Sus scrofa: one gene and its partner. The protein of the gene in region 1 interacts with the protein of each later gene in a pairwise test. Links are inferred from orthologs where the notes say so. Each region holds a gene or a part of one and is shown in the gene's direction. Other genes may lie near its edges.

Evidence for each region.
Region 2: the proteins of EGLN3 (region 1) and FOXJ2 interact in binary tests that used the Homo sapiens proteins (3 or more experiments, as listed by UniProt). The two-hybrid records come from large-scale screens. The link is inferred for Sus scrofa from reciprocal best matches to the Homo sapiens genes EGLN3 and FOXJ2.

What each region holds. Positions count from the first base shown.
Region 1 is NC_010449.5:65,826,658-65,833,811, forward strand, and holds the end of EGLN3 (egl nine homolog 3), read left to right. Parts: intron 1-1,315; coding exon 1,316-1,452; intron 1,453-3,738; coding exon 3,739-3,812; intron 3,813-4,679; coding exon 4,680-4,711; 3' UTR 4,712-6,879; downstream 6,880-7,154. UniProt on the Homo sapiens protein: Prolyl hydroxylase that mediates hydroxylation of proline residues in target proteins, such as PKM, TELO2, ATF4 and HIF1A. Target proteins are preferentially recognized via a LXXLAP motif.
Region 2 is NC_010447.5:63,072,786-63,081,177, forward strand, and holds part of FOXJ2 (forkhead box protein J2), read left to right. Parts: intron 1-553; coding exon 554-628; intron 629-2,038; coding exon 2,039-2,107; intron 2,108-2,771; coding exon 2,772-2,912; intron 2,913-3,353; coding exon 3,354-3,552; intron 3,553-7,465; coding exon 7,466-7,882; intron 7,883-8,287; coding exon 8,288-8,389; intron 8,390-8,392.

The sequences.
Region 1 (7,154 bases):
ACGCCAAAGGCTTCATGGCTTATTTTCTTATATAGATAGAGATATGAAGTCTGGTTCCACGCTTACAAACATTTGTCTGGAATTCGTATGCTTTCTGAAAGTTAAGGATGATTTAGGAGTCTGAGAAGTTGGAGAACTTTTCAAGCTGATTTGGCTTTTGAACCTTCTGCATCTCCATTTCCTGTTCATTAGGACAGATGCTGGCTGTCCTAGAGTAAGGAGATTTTATCCGGGGTCAGAAAATCTAAATGTGAGGAGTTCCCGTCATGGCGCAGTGGAAATGAATCCGACTAGGAACCATGAGATTTCAGGTTCAATCCCTGGCCTCACTCAGTGAGTTAAGGATCCTGTGTAGGTTGCAAACACGGCTCGGATCCCGTGTTGCTGTGGCTCTGGCGTAGGCTGGCAGCTACAGCTCCGATTAGACCCCTAGCCTGGGAATCTCCATATGCCGTGGATGTGGCCCTAAAAGGACAAAAGACAAAAAAAAAAAAAGAAAAGAAAATCTAAACCTGGGAAACCAGTGAATCAGTGACAAGCCTCCCTATTTGATAACATGATTGGAATATATCCCCTTAGTTGTCCTTTAAAATCTCAAAAGGTGATGCTATAGACATGAGAGTAAAGTTGTCAGATTGGTGGTAATAAATAACAGAGTATGAAATCATTCAGTGAATATTCGTGTGCCTGTACTGGTGCCGGGCATTTGGCTGTGGGGAAATACTGATGTATAAGGCCTGAATTCTACCTTGACATGGTTCTTCTCGTGGATAGATGGGGTGAGCATGTAATAAAAAAAAGTAATTCAAGAAAGAGAGTGATGTATGTCCTAAAAGATACAGATAAGGTGGTCTGGGAGTCAGGAAAAAAGAGTATGTAACTTCCAACTGATGAAATCACTTTGGAGCTAGGGGAGTTCCAGAGAAAGCTGTAAATTCTAATTGAAGGGGAGGTTATGTGTGGTCACTGTCCTAGGGAGCTGTTAATATTGGATTGAACTATATGAAATTGCTGTAGGTCAAAAAGAGTCACATATTGGCAGTTCCATATGATTTGACCCAATAGTACTTCGTTTTGTATCCAGGGGCTTCGTGATGGGGGGGGGGCGGAGGCTTCATTTGGTATGAGGTGAATAAGGAGATATGTGTGTTAGCCAAGTTTGAACAAAGGATGAGGCCAAAGTACCATCTAGGGCATAATACACACATGGAGTAGCAGTTGGAAGATAGCTTTACTTCTAGATGATGCTAAACTATCATTGTTAATGAACTATGTCTGAGACCAGGAAATAATCTACCTTCTTTGTGGCCCTCAGCTACACGGTGGGATCCTGCGGATATTTCCAGAAGGGAAATCATTCATAGCAGATGTGGAGCCCATTTTTGACAGACTCTTGTTCTTCTGGTCAGACCGCAGGAACCCACATGAAGTCCAGCCTTCCTATGCGACCAGGTAACAGCCAGGGCCACAATTGCCCTTAAGAAGCTTCTTGTACAAACCTCGGTTCCCAGAGAATTCTCTCAGCTTGTGTTCTGAGCATATGAGGGGCCAACCACCCCCCAAAGCTGACAGCAAACATATTTGAAGTCAATAAAAATTGCGGGAGAAACGCTAGACTCGTTAGTACACCAAACCTATCTTGAACATACTGTTTTCCATTAGGTGAGCATCTTGGATTCCAAATTCCCCAGAAAGTTTTTCTCTTCTCTCGCTTCTTCCCCACCCCTCCATTAAAAAAACTTAATGTTGAATTACTCCTAGGGAATGTTGACTGTCACAAATTAGGAATTTGGTCTGGTTCCCTCTAGAGAAGTTGCCAGTTCCAAGTGGAGAAAGAACCTTGAGGAAAAAAAAAAAAAAAAGAAATTTGTTCTGATTTTGTTTTCTTTTCACCCTTTCCTTAGCTTAAAATTTTACTGTACTCATCATGTCCTAATAGTTGGATTTTTAAAATTCCTTTTTTTAAAAAACATACTTTATCGAAGTATAGTTGATTTACAATGTTGTTAGTGAAATTCCTTTCTCTAGATCATGCATGGGAAGGTTTTCAGAGTAAATGAACAAGTTAGCATTGCTTAGTATTAATCTTAGAAGTCCTTGATATAATCTATTTTTTTTTTTTTAGGGCCACACCTGTGGCATATGGAAGTTTCCAGGCTAGGGGCTGAATCAGAGCCATGTCTGCGACCTACACCACAGCTTATGACAATGCCGGATTCTTAACCCACCGAGAAAGGTCAGGGATCAAACCCAAATCCTCATGGATACCAGTTGGGTTTGTTACTGCTGAGCAACAATAGAAACTCCATCTTCCATTCTGATATAATCTTTTTTTTTTTTTTTTTTTTTTTTTTTTTGCTTTTTAAGGCTCCACACGCAGCATATGGAAGTTCCCAGGCTAGGGGTCAAATTGGAGCTACAGCTGCTTGCCTACACCATAGCCATAGCAACGTCGGATCTGAGCCGCATCTGTGACCTACACCACAGCTTACGGCAACACCAGATCCTTAACCCACTGAGTGAGGCCAGGGATCAAACATGCATCCTCATGGATACTAGTTGGATTTGTTATGGCTAAGCCACAACGGGAACTCCAATGTAATCTTAATTTTGGATTCTGCCTCTCATTTGCCTTTGTTTTATGGACAAAGCTGTAAACCAGGTGGTATTGGAGCTCTGTGGGGTGTAGCTTGAATTGGGAATAGCAGTTGGGGGCAGGGAGGAGAGAGATTGGTTAGAAGGATAATGACTAAACCTTAACAAGCCTAATTAAATTAAAATCACAGGTGTAAAGTGCTTAAGGGTTATGTGTCTCCCTCCAGAAATCACGGATCTGAGCTCCACACAGAGCTGCATATTAAATGTCAAACTGGGATGTACCCTAGGTGAGCAGTTAAGTAATTCTACCACCAAAGCCTACTGTGGCTTATTTAATGGGACACAATAATTGGACCCTGTCATTTGTGCAGAATTCTCCAGTGTCTCCATGACCAGAGTCACAGGGGAAACATTAGCAAATGTTGATAAGAATCCCTTAGAAAAAAATCAAGTGCTATAGAAATTCCAGTAGCTGATAATAATGATAATAATAATAATAATAACAACAACAACAACAACAAATGAACCTTTTAAAAACTCAAGCATGAAATGACTCCTGTTATAGTCTATCCCATAGATGGGATAAAGCAAATGAATGGGATGCAGTAGAAAGCTTGAGGGCATTGTTATCATTGTGTCATTGGCTCAATGTGGAAAACTAAGAGAAAATAGCCCAGAATTGTAAGTGTCTTGTGATTTGGTAAGTTACTCTCCAAAGCTTCACTAGGATGTCATCTCTTCTTTGCTCTTCCCACCAACTTAAGTCTCTCAATCCTTAGCAGAATGACTCCTTTCCAGCATTTTTTGTGTAGATCATCTTGACCTGTTCCATTATTTGTTAAATCGCTTTTCTCCCCTGCTAGAGCCCAAGCTTCTTGAGAAAAAAGCTGATGTATTCACAGGACCATTTGAATTCCCATCGCTCAGGATAATGCCTGGCGCATACTCGGAATTCCTTACGTGTTTTATTACATTTAAATAGACTTGAAACCAGAGAAGTTTATTTTAAATTCAAATTGGGATGGAAAAAATTTAAACGTTGACTTTACAAATGACTGTTATGTGAAATTTATAGCAAGTATTTTTTATTTTTTGGTAGTGTTTTCAAGCCTCTTTTTAATATCTGCTTATCTTTCACAGATATGCCATGACTGTTTGGTACTTCGATGCTGAAGAGAGGGCCGAAGCCAAAAAGAAATTCAGGAATTTGACTAGTATGTGTTTGATAATTTTCTGTGATTTTTTGATCTAGTCAATCCATAACTTTTATTCAAGACTTTTATGTACATTCTAATATATTCTGTTTAGTCTCAGCTATAGCTTAGCTTCGTACATAATGGCATCTTGATGGGCCTAATTCTGTTCTTAGCTCTACTGAAAAATCAGAAAAAAAAAAAAAGCCACAAAGGACATCCCCTGTGAATGTCCACTGATGATGTGACAGTTAAAATAGATGGGAACTAGTTAACTTTTGATCATTAATGTTTGTCCATCAAACATAATGTTAAATTCTGACCCTGATTTTGGCACGTAATGAAAGAAATTCAATGGAACTTTAGCTATGATGGTTAATCTATTACATTGGTACAAGACCAGTGTGGTGACTCTGAATATAAAAACTGGGCTCTTATAATATAAATTGAATGTGACTTGACATCATTCCTGTTGCCTCTATCCAGTATTATAAGGCAGCATTTCTGAAAATATGTTATATTGAAACACAGGTTGGTTTGCAAGAAGATAAATTCCTGGCCACTAAATGTGGGAAATGTTACATATTGTATCTCTTTCTTGAAGAGTCACATTGCTCATGGGCATATTAATCAAGAAAATATTAATCTAAGAAATCGTACCATAAAGATGTATGTGACATTGCCTAACCCATGACCCATTTGGACTGTATGCCTAGCAAACACCAAAGAAAACAAGTTTTGCTAAACCCTTTCAGGAGGCACTGCATTCAGCTTTGTTCTGTAAGATGGGGAGCATTTACTGGAGGCTTTTGGGGTGACATTTGTGATACTAAACTCATCAGATCGAGCCTCTTACCCTCTTTGTTTTCTTTTCTGTTCCTAACCCAGGGAAAACCGAGCCTGCCCTCACTGAGGACTGACCCTGCTCTGAAATCCGCTGGCCTCATTCATCTTAGTAACAGTTCCTGAATTCTCTTTAAGAGTTGAGGAAGGCCTCTTCTGCAGGGACTCGGTGATGAGAACCCCTTACTATTGCTTGCATCATTCACATCCCTGTCTTGCGTATGGTACTTTGTGTTTTCTTGCCAAGACTGCATCCACCTCCAGACACTTTGCCAGACGAACTCATTTACTAACTCCAGAAATACCTGCAGACAACCTAGCTGGCCAGCGGTGTAATTGATAGATTTGGTGATCCTGGCTTTTGAAGCAAGAACCTGGAAGCATGAGCGAGGGCATGAATCTTACTTGCACTTTATGTACACTTCCTGATTTGAAAGGAGGAGGTTTGCAAAGAAATAAAATGGTGACAGATGCCACGGCGAGGCATCGCTGAAGCCTTAACAGCAGGAAACAGAAATGTGTGTCATCTGAACAATTTCCAGATGTTCTTAATCCAGGGCTGTTGGGGTTTCTGGAGAATTATCACAACCTAATGACATTATTACCTCTAGAAAGGGCTGCTGTCATAGTCATCAGTTTCTAAATCTCCAGGGACACTCCTTTTCCCTGGTCCTGCAACCTAGACTTTCTGCCTCTGCCCCATTTTGATGGAATATGTCAATGCCATTCATTTTCTAGTATCACTTCTTATTTGGAGAACCTAATTCCCTGGAGGCAAAAGTAGACATTAATTGTTTTGATTGCTTTGTTGAAAGGAAATTTGAATTTAAATCAAAGAGTGGGAGGGGGATCTTCCTGGTAGTTTGGAGCCAACAACCTCTGATAATGATGTCAAAAGACCTAATACATGTGCATCTTGAACAGTTTGAGACTGGAGATGGAGTTGGAACTGTGGACGTTCCTATTTTTCAGTTTTCCTTTTTAATGGCCTCACCCTTCTTTAATTTAACAAAGTAAGAAAATCACAAAAAAACTAGGGTGCTGAAATGTTAAAAGGAAATGGAAATAAAGCAAAAAATCCTGAAAAGCTGCTTGAGTTCTTCCACATTTTCTGTCCCTAGTAGCCTCTTCTCAGCAGACTGGACCCTCCAGATCCACTGTGGTTGGTAGTATGGCTGGAATTGTGGAATTTGCTAGAACTGTGGAAAGTTCTACTGCAGTGAACACAGATTCTGCTGCCTGCAGAATTCTGTATTGAGTCCATGAAGGTTACTCTTAGTTTCCAGTTCTATTTTCATATTTGTTAAATCCCTGTAATTTCTTGCTTGAAAACCCTATGCACATTAAGGGGCCAGAAACATTTTGTCACTTAACAGATGAATAGACTGTCCCAGAAGGAAGCATATTTTCGTGTGTACCTGGCTTTGGAAAATTTTCAGATAAGACTTGTCTTTTTTTTCTCACGAGTGCTCTATATTTTTTTTTCCTATAGTACTCATCACCTTCTAAGTTACTATGTAAATTACTTATTTATTATGTTCATTGTCTTGCATCCTTCCTCTAGAGTGTAAGCACAATGAAGACAGGGATTTTTGTATGTGTTCAATCAGTGGAATGTATTCCCAGCACCTAAAATAGTGCTTGGCACATAGTAAGAGCTCAGTAAATACTTGTTGAATAAACTCTTGCCTTAGTATTTTAATTGTTTGATTTATTTCCTCTATCTTGGGTAGGATGGGCTTGGTAGAATTTTTGCACATGTGTCTTTCTGTCATTGTTGACTTTAAGTTTAGGCTAAGAATTTTAGGAAGCTTTGATCATAGTGTCCTTTCATATTATCTGTTTGAAGAGGTCATTGGCAACTATGAATCTGAAGATTGAACAAAGAGGATTCTGCCCTTCTATGTCCTGGAACTACAGGAGTACGGAGAACTTCAGAGAGGATAGACCGCATTCTTCCTTTGGAACAATTTTGAAAACCTTCAACAAGAGAGAAAGAAAGAAGGTTGTTTACTAGGAGTTTTATATTCTGTAAAATGGTAGCTAAGTTTTTTCCATGATAACTATCATAGTGAGAATGATGATGATATTCTGAAAGAACATTGTTACAAAATATCATTACAATAGTATGTCTTGTATCTTTCACTTAGTCAATATTTTGAGTTACCCAAAGATCAGACCTCATATGCTTTGCCTTCCAGACAAAGGTCCTATAACCAAATAAACTATATATATATCAAATCAATTTTTAATGCATTGATTTTTTTCATGGCTGAATTTGAGTCCTGGAAAATACAACTAAGAGTGACTGCTTTTTTTCCTCCTCTCTTTGACAGCCCACTTAGGGGAGGACTTAGCCCTGATGAAGAAACATTATTTGGCAAATAATCGGATCAATTTCCTTTATATTCCTGGCAATGAAATGTTAAGAGCCTACCTCAGTGTTACGTCACCTACATAGTGCAGAGTCCTTGGCAGGAGATTAAATTTTGAGCCAAAGATCCAATTTCATGGAAAGAA
Region 2 (8,392 bases), on another chromosome or scaffold:
GTAGCCACCGGCCTACGCCAGAGCCACAGCAACGCGGATCCGAGCCGCGTCTGCAACCTACACCACAGCTCACAGCAACGCCGGATCGTTAACCCACTGAGCAAGGGCAGGGACCGAACCCGCAACCTCATGGTTCCTAGTCGGATTCGTTAACCGCTGCGCCACGACGGGAACTCCTCTCATATCTTCTTTATCCACTCATCTGTTGATGCACACTTAGGTCCGGGCAGATGTGATTCTGAGGCATTTATATACCCGTTGTAAGTTGGGTGGAGAGATTGAAAAACCGTGCACTCAGCTTTCTAGGAGCACTTTGTAGTCAAATGTATACCCATTACCGCTCGCCTCTCAATTACAAAAGAGTTTAATTGCTGTCCTTTTCTTATCTCATTGCTCTTGCGGATAGGTAATTTCCTCCATCCCTGTCCTTAAGAGGTGCTCTGTGTATCCTGACGCTTGAACTTTAGTGTGTGTCAGGTCCCTTTGTGTCCTGTTGGAAACTTTTCTGCTTCGCAAGATGCTCAAATCTAACTTGCTTCTCTGCTTTCCCCAGAATTCAATTCGGCACAACCTTTCTCTCAACAAGTGCTTCCGGAAGGTGCCCAGACCTCGGGATGACCCTGGGAAGGTGAGATTCTGCTGTAATTGGGGAAGGGAGGAACAGGAAGGAGTGAGAAATAGTTGACAGCCCAGAGTCCTGTGATGGTTTTAATTACCCAGAAGAGGAAATCATGTTAATTAGACAAGCAGCTTTATTTATTTTTTCAGAGGAAAAGCTTGGTACTCAAGCTTGTGGGTCCACACTAGAATGAGTGACTAAGGAAGACTGTGGCATTAAAAAAAAAAAAAAATTTATGAAAAAGCTGACTTCAGTGCCCCCCCTCCCTTTTTTTGTGTGTTTTGAGGGCTGCACTCATGGCATATGGAGGTTCCCAGGCCAGGGGTCTAACCGGAGCTATAGCTGCCAGCCTACACCACAGCCACAGCAATGCCAGATCTGAGCTGTTTCTGTGACCTACACCACACCTCACCGCAATGCCAGATCCTTAACCCAATCACAAATGACTGAGGCCAGGGATCGAACCTGCAACCTCATGGTTCCTAGTCGGATTTGTTTCTGCTGCATCTCAACGGGAACTCCATGTGCCCCCTTTTTTGTGCATGGCACTCTTTCTAGGTGTAAAAGGTGGAGCTAATAACCTTTGAAGGAACTGTTCTTTTCCTTCCTTCTTTCTTTCTTTCTTTCTTTCTTTCTTTCTTTCTTTCTTTCTTTCTTTCTTTCTTTCTTTCTTTTCTTTCTTTCCTTCCTTCCTTCCTTCCTTCCTTCCTTCCTTCCTTCCTTCCTTTCCTTTCCTTTTCTTTTCTTGTCTTTTTGGGCCGCAGGTACAGCATATGGAAGTTCCCAGGCTAGGGGTTGAAATGGAGCTGCAGCTGCCAGCCTACACCACAGCCACAGCAACTCCAGATTCGACCCTCGTCTGTGACCTACACCACAGCTCATGCCAATGCTAGATCCTTAACTCACAGAGCGAGGCCAGGGATGGAACCCACATCTTCATGGATACTAGTCGGGTTCGTTTCTGCTGAGCTACAATGGGAACTCCCAGGAACTTCTCTATATGAAAATAGAAAATTATTTCTCTATGATTTTTTTATCTTCCAAGAGGAGAAGAGGCAGCTCATCCTCTTGGTCTCTCAGCTGTGGATGCTAAAGTCGAAGAGAGTTTTACCTCAGATCGCAAGGAGGGAAGATTGCTCTGGGCATTTCCAGCTCTTTGAACTGGATGCAGTTGTTCTCTGGAATGATCGAGGCCTGTGTTTGGACCACAGCGGGTACCTCTGACCTTCTCAGTTAGCGGTTAGGACAGATTTAGTCCTCAAAAAGAGCTGGTAGCCACAGGATTCTGTGGGAATCACCTGTCATTTTTCTCCATATAACTTATTTTATATGAAAATCCACTCAAATATCTACTTTTCCAAAGGTAGGAATTTCTGTCTATAATGAATTTCTCCTCTCTGGGGATGGGTTTTCTTTTAGGGCTCTTACTGGACAATTGACACCTGCCCCGACATCTCCCGAAAGAGAAGACACCCTCCAGATGATGATGTGAGTTCCCACCTCAGTGGGGAGATGCATTTCTGAGCCAGCTTCTACATCTCTTCCTGTATTTTCAGTTATTTCCTAAATTGGGGGTAAAGGACCAATACCAGTAGAGGTGAAACCATGGGACTTGGGAGGACATTTAACGTCTGCTTAGAAATTTCTTTTCTTTTCTTTCTTTCTTTTTTTTTTTTTTTTTTTGGTTTTCTGTCTTTTTAGGGCCACACCCCGCAGCATGTGGCAGTTCCCAGGCTAGGGGTTTAATCAGAATGACAGCTGCCAGCCTATGCCATAGCCACAGCAATTCGGGATCCTAGCCGTGTCTGCGACCTATACCACTGCTCACGGCAACGCCGAATCCTTAACCCACTGAGCAAGGCCAGGGATCAAACCCACGTCCTCATGGATACTAGTTGGGCTCATTAAACACTGAGCCATGATGGGAATTCTAGCTGACAGATTTCCTTCTTTCTTTCTTCTTTTTTTTTTTTTTTTATGCCATATGCAAGTTCCTAGGCCAGGGACTAAATCCCAGCCGAAGCTGCAGATCCTTTAACTCACTGCACTGGGCCAGGGATCTGAGACTTAAGCCACTGCAGTCAGATTCTTAACCCACTGCACCATAGTGGGAACTCCTGCTTATAGGTTTCTATTCTTTCACAACCCTCAGCTACCCCAAGACTCACCGGAACAAGAGGCAAGCAAGAGCCCACGAGGAGGCATTCCAGGGAGTGGAGAAGCCTCACTGCCTCCCGAGGGGAATCCTCAGATGTCACTCCAGAGCCCCACCTCTATTGCCAGCTACAGCCAGGTAGCAATTGGAGGTGGCAGGGGGCATAGGGATGGACGGGTGGATGGATAGGTAGTTGAGTACATTGATGTATGTATCAGCTCAAAGTTATGTACTGAATATCTGTGCTATATAACAGGCAGATAAACTGGGAAAGAAGGAGAGAGTAAAGAGAAAGGCAACAGAACTTTAAGAAAGATCAGAAAAAAAGTGATGACAAGACAAGAAGGGGAGGCAAAAGGGTTATGAGAAGGGAAAGACGAGCAGGACGTAACCCAGGAAAAGGACAGAAGGCTACATCCTGGTAAGAATGAGTGCAAAGAGGAGGAGAAAATGAAGCTCCTTCGCTGAGAAGCTGGGAGGGGATGAAAAGGACAGGCAGGAGAGCTTGGGGTCCATTAAAGAGCTGTCTTGGCGCTTCGTATAGGACACGGATCAAGTCTTTCTTACCTCTTTGTGCAGGGCACAGGATCTGTGGATGGCGGGGCAGTGGCAGCAGGGGCTCCAGGACGAGAGAGCACTGAGGGTCCCCCTCCCCTGTATAACACCAACCATGACTTCAAATTCTCCTACTCAGAGATCAATTTTCAGGATCTAAGCTGGTCCTTCCGAAACCTCTACAAATCTATGCTGGAGAAGTCTTCCTCCTCCTCTCAACACGGTGGGTCTGGCATGGGGAGGGGATCGGGGATGTCCTTGTATTTTTGAATGGATGGTGATAGTCTTTCTCTCCTTCTTTCTTACCTGTAACCCAGGGAGAGGTTGATCACTGGTCAGGGGAAGCATGTCTTGAGCCAAAACGGTTTGGAGTGGAGCTCTTCTGGCTTAGTTCTGAAGGACAGTTCTCTGTTTCAAGAGGCAGGCTGGGAGGCATTGGTGGTTCAATGGTAGAATTCTCGCTTCCCAAGAGGAAGGCTGGGTCGTTAGCTTCGGAAAGTGAGTTAAAGGAATCCCACTTCTAAAACTAAGGGCTGTAATTTTTTTTTTCTTCTTTTTTTCTTTTAAGGGCCAAACTCACAGCAAATGCAAGTTCCCAGACTAGGGGCTGAATTGGAACTGCAGGTGTTGGCCTATGCCACAGCCACAACAATGCCACATCCAAGCCATGTCTGTGATATACACTGCGCTCGGGGCAATGTCATATCCTTAACCCACTGAGAGGGGTCAGGAATCCAACTGCATTCTCATGGATACTAGCCAGTTTCCTTACTGCTGAGCCACAATGGGAACTTCCAAGGGCCATGATTTTATGGCTGTCAGCAAGTCATTCTGAGGATGGCCACTAGGGGCAGCAGTAACTTGCTTTACCTAAGAATCCCTGTTTCATTGTGAGAACATTTAATTTTATTTTTTAACGTATTTATGTTAATTTTTATGAGGAACAATTTCAAACCGGTGCAAAATGGAGAAAATTGTATAGTAAACCTTCATGTTTCCATTGCCCAATTTTAACAGTTCCCAATATTTTATTAAGGTTGTTTTGTTTGCCACCCAGTTTATTTATTTATTTAATTCTTAGTAACATAATTTTTTATTTTTATTTATTTATTTATTTTTTGTCTTTTTGCTATTTCTTTGGGGCCGCTCCCACGGCATATGGAGGTTCCCAGGCTAGGGGTCGAATCGGAGCTGTAGCCACTAGCCTACGCCAGAGCCACAGCAATGCGGGATCCGAGCCGCGTCTGCAACCTACACCACACTCACGGCAACGCCGGATCGTTAACCCACTGAGCAAGGGCAGGGACCGAACCCGCAACCTCATGGTTCCTAGTGGATTCGTTAACCACTGCGCCACGACGGGAACTCCAATATTTTATATTCTTTTTTTAAATTTAAAATTAATCCAAGAAACACACAGATTAAGAAGTCAATGTACCTTTTCGTTTTCTCCTAATTTTAACCCCAGAGGTGCCCACCCACTTTTTCTTTCTTTCTTTTTTTTTCCTTTTCACCTTTTCTTTTTTAATTGAAATGTAGTTCCAGGTTTGCTTTTTTTTTTTTTTTTTGTCTTTTGTCTTTTTTTTTTTTTGTTGTTGTTGTTGTTGCTATTTCTTGGGCCGCTCCCGGGCATATGGAGATTCCCAGGCTAGGGGTTGAATCAGAGCTGTAGCCACCGGCCTACGCCAGAGCCACAGCAACTCGGGATCCGAGCCGAGTCTGCAACCTACACCACAGCTCACGGCAACGCTGGATCCTTAACCCGCTGGGCGAGGGCAGGGACCGAACTTGCAACCTCATGGTTCCTAGTCGGATTCGTTAACCACTGCGCCACGACGGGAACTCCCAGGTTTGCTTTTAAATGGAGGAATTTAATGCATGTCATTCTATCTGAAAATACTAGTTTGGTATGCATCCTTAATGATAAAGATTTTTCTTTCCATTATCCTAACACAGTAAATAATGCTTCCAGAATATCGGTTTATATCTTGGCCATACTCAAATTTCCCAAATTCACATGTGAGAAGGATTTGAAGTCATTCTTGGGAGACTCCTTGAGAGAGCATCTAGTTCAGCTCTCTGCGATTCCTGTTTTTAAAAAATTGCATTTATTTATACATATATTTTTTTGTCTTTTTGCCTTTTCTAGGGCCACACCCACGGCATATGGAGGTTCCCAGGCTAGGGGTCAAGTCAGAGCTGTAGCCGCTGGCCTACGACAGAGCCACGGCAACACCAGATCCGAGCCGTGTCTTCAACCTACACCAGAGCTCACAGCAATGCCAGATCCTTAACCCACTGAGGGAGGCTGGGGATCGAACCCTTGTCCTCATGGTTCCTAGTCAGATTCGTTTTCACTGCCCCATGATGGGAACTCCATGTTTTTAAAAATTTTAAAGAGAATTTGGAGGTAGGGGTGAAGTAAAGACTTCAGGGTGAATCATCAGACCTTATTCTGTCCACTGGCCATGGAGAGGCAGCAGGAGATGAATGGAATGATAAAAAGTGCTTAGGAGTCCCTTTGGGAGAAATTTATATATTTTTTTGGTCTTTTGTCTTTTTAGGGCCGCACCTGTGGCATATGGAGATTCCCAGGCTAGGGGTTGAGTCAGCAGAGCTGTGGCTGCCAGCCTACACCACAGCCATAGCAATTTGGGATCTGAGCTGCATCTGTGACCTACACCACAGCTCATGGCAACGCAGGATCCTTAACCCACTGAGCAGAGCTGGGAATCAAACCCACATCCTCATGGATACCTGTCAGTTCGTTAACCACTGAGCCACAGGGGGAACTCCAGAACTTTGTATTGTCCTGCCTTTCTTGTATATCTGTGGGGGTTCCTGTCTAGAGTTGTGTCCCAAGGTTGCAGGATTTGCTTGAGAAATGAGTCGGGTTCAGGTGATTTGGGTGATGAGAAGTGGAGAACTTGAAGGGCTCTCAGAAGCAAAGGAAAAAACCAAATTGAGTGAGGGCAGCAGAGAGTTCACTTAGGTTTAATTAAGGCTGAAAACCCGGTTTCCATCTTGGATTCTTCCCAGCCAGATCTGTTTGAGAAATTTATCCATTTGGACTCTACTCCACACCCAGGCTCCCCCCCTTTTTTTTGGCTTTGCCCATAGAATGTGGAAATTCCCAGACTGGGGATCTAACCTGAGCCACAGCAGTGACCTGAGCTACAGCAGTGACAACACCAGGTCCTTAACCTGCTGGGCCACCAGGGATCTCCCAAGCTTTTATTTTTGTAGTGACTACAAGAAGGCTATAATTGCAGAACAGTGTAGGACAATAAGGAAAAGGAGAGGAGTTCCCGTCATGGCTCAGAGGTTAGTGAACCCAACTAGCATCCATGAGGACGAAGGTTCGATCCCTGACTTTGCTCAGTGGGTTAAGAATCTGGTGTTGCTGCTATGAGCTGTGGTGTGGGTCGCAGATGCGACTCAGATCCCGCCTTGCTGTGGCTGTGGTGTAGGCTGACAGCTTTAGCTTTGATTTGACCCCTAGCCTGGGAACCTCCATCTGCCCTAAAAAAAAAAAAAAAAAAATTTTAAAAAGAAAAGGAGAAATAAAGGCCCATGCCTTTGGGTTTGTTTGTGTTTTTTTGTTTTTTGCTTTTTTTACAGCTGCACCTGCAGCATATGGAAGTTCCTAGGCTAGGGGCTGAATGGGAGCTGCAGCTGCCAGCTTACATCACAGCCTCAGCAGCACTGCATCTGAGCCACATCTTTGACCTATGCCACAGCTTTCGGCAATGCTATGGATACCATGTTGGGTCCTTAATCCACTGAGCCACAACAGGCACTCCTTATGGTTTTGTTTTATTTATAATTTGCTTTTAAAATTTTACCCGATGTCTGATTTCTTTTGAAACTGTGATTCCAGACCTACATGAAAATCCCTTGAAAAATAGCATAAAAAGGTGCATGCTGACCTCCTAGCTAAAATTTCAGCCCTTGTCATGCTGTCAAGCACCCCCCCCGCCGCCCCCCGTATCTGTCATACTTGCAAGGGGAGGGAGGGGACCACGGGGACGTGACCCTTTGCCTCTGCTGTCCGTGCTTTCTGTCTGAGGCCTCCCATCTCAACCCAGTGGGATTCCTGTTCTGTGAACAATGCGACGCTTCCTCCTCCTCCACAGGCTTCTCGTCTCTCCTGGGGGACATGCCGCCCTCTAACAACTACTACATGTACCAGCAGCAGCAGCCACAGCCCCCACAGCCGCCCCAGCAGTCACAGCCGCAGCAGCAACAGCAGCAGCAGCAGCAGCAGCCACCGCCGCCGCCTCCGCCGGCGGCCCCCGCCCAGGGCCCCTCCGCTGTGGGGGGTGCGCCTCCACTGCACACCCCAAGCCCAGATGGCTGTACCCCGCCAGGGGGGAAGCAAGCAGGAGCCGAGGGCTACGGGCCCCCCCCAGTGATGGCCATGCACCCACCCCCACTGCAGCACGGAGGCTACCACCCCCATCAGCACCACCCCCACCCGCACCCCGCCCAGCAGCCACCGCCACCGCCACCGCAGGCACAAGCCCAGGCTCCCATCAACAGTACTGGCTTTGGTGAGTAAGGCGGTGCAGGGCCCTGGAGGAGTGTGGGTTGGCCCCCCTGTTCTGCCTCTGCCCATGGAGATGCCTTGGTCACTGAGTTAACAGTGGGCCTGGAAGCCTCCCTCTCATCTGAGCGCTGGAAGTTGCTACTCAGAGCTCTGTTCATAGAATTCTTGGTCAAATTGGAATTATTTTACATATTCTCCTGCCTCTGAGCTGGGTGTCTGTACCTAAAGCATCCATAGCTTTATTTACTCTAAATTTCCAGGCAAATAATCCTGGTAGTGGAACTGATCCTGGTCATGAAACTGATAACCTGTGTAGATGCAAGAATCTGCCGTGAGCCGGTGTCCTGTCAGTTGGCCCCCGCCTCACCGCTCACTCTGTCTTACTACCATGTTCGCCTCCTCTCTACAGCCTTTCCTCCGGACTGGTGCTCCAATATCGACTCCTTAAAGGAAAGCTTCAAGATGGTGAATCGGCTCAACTGGTCCAGCATTGAGCAGTCGCAGTTCTCAGGTG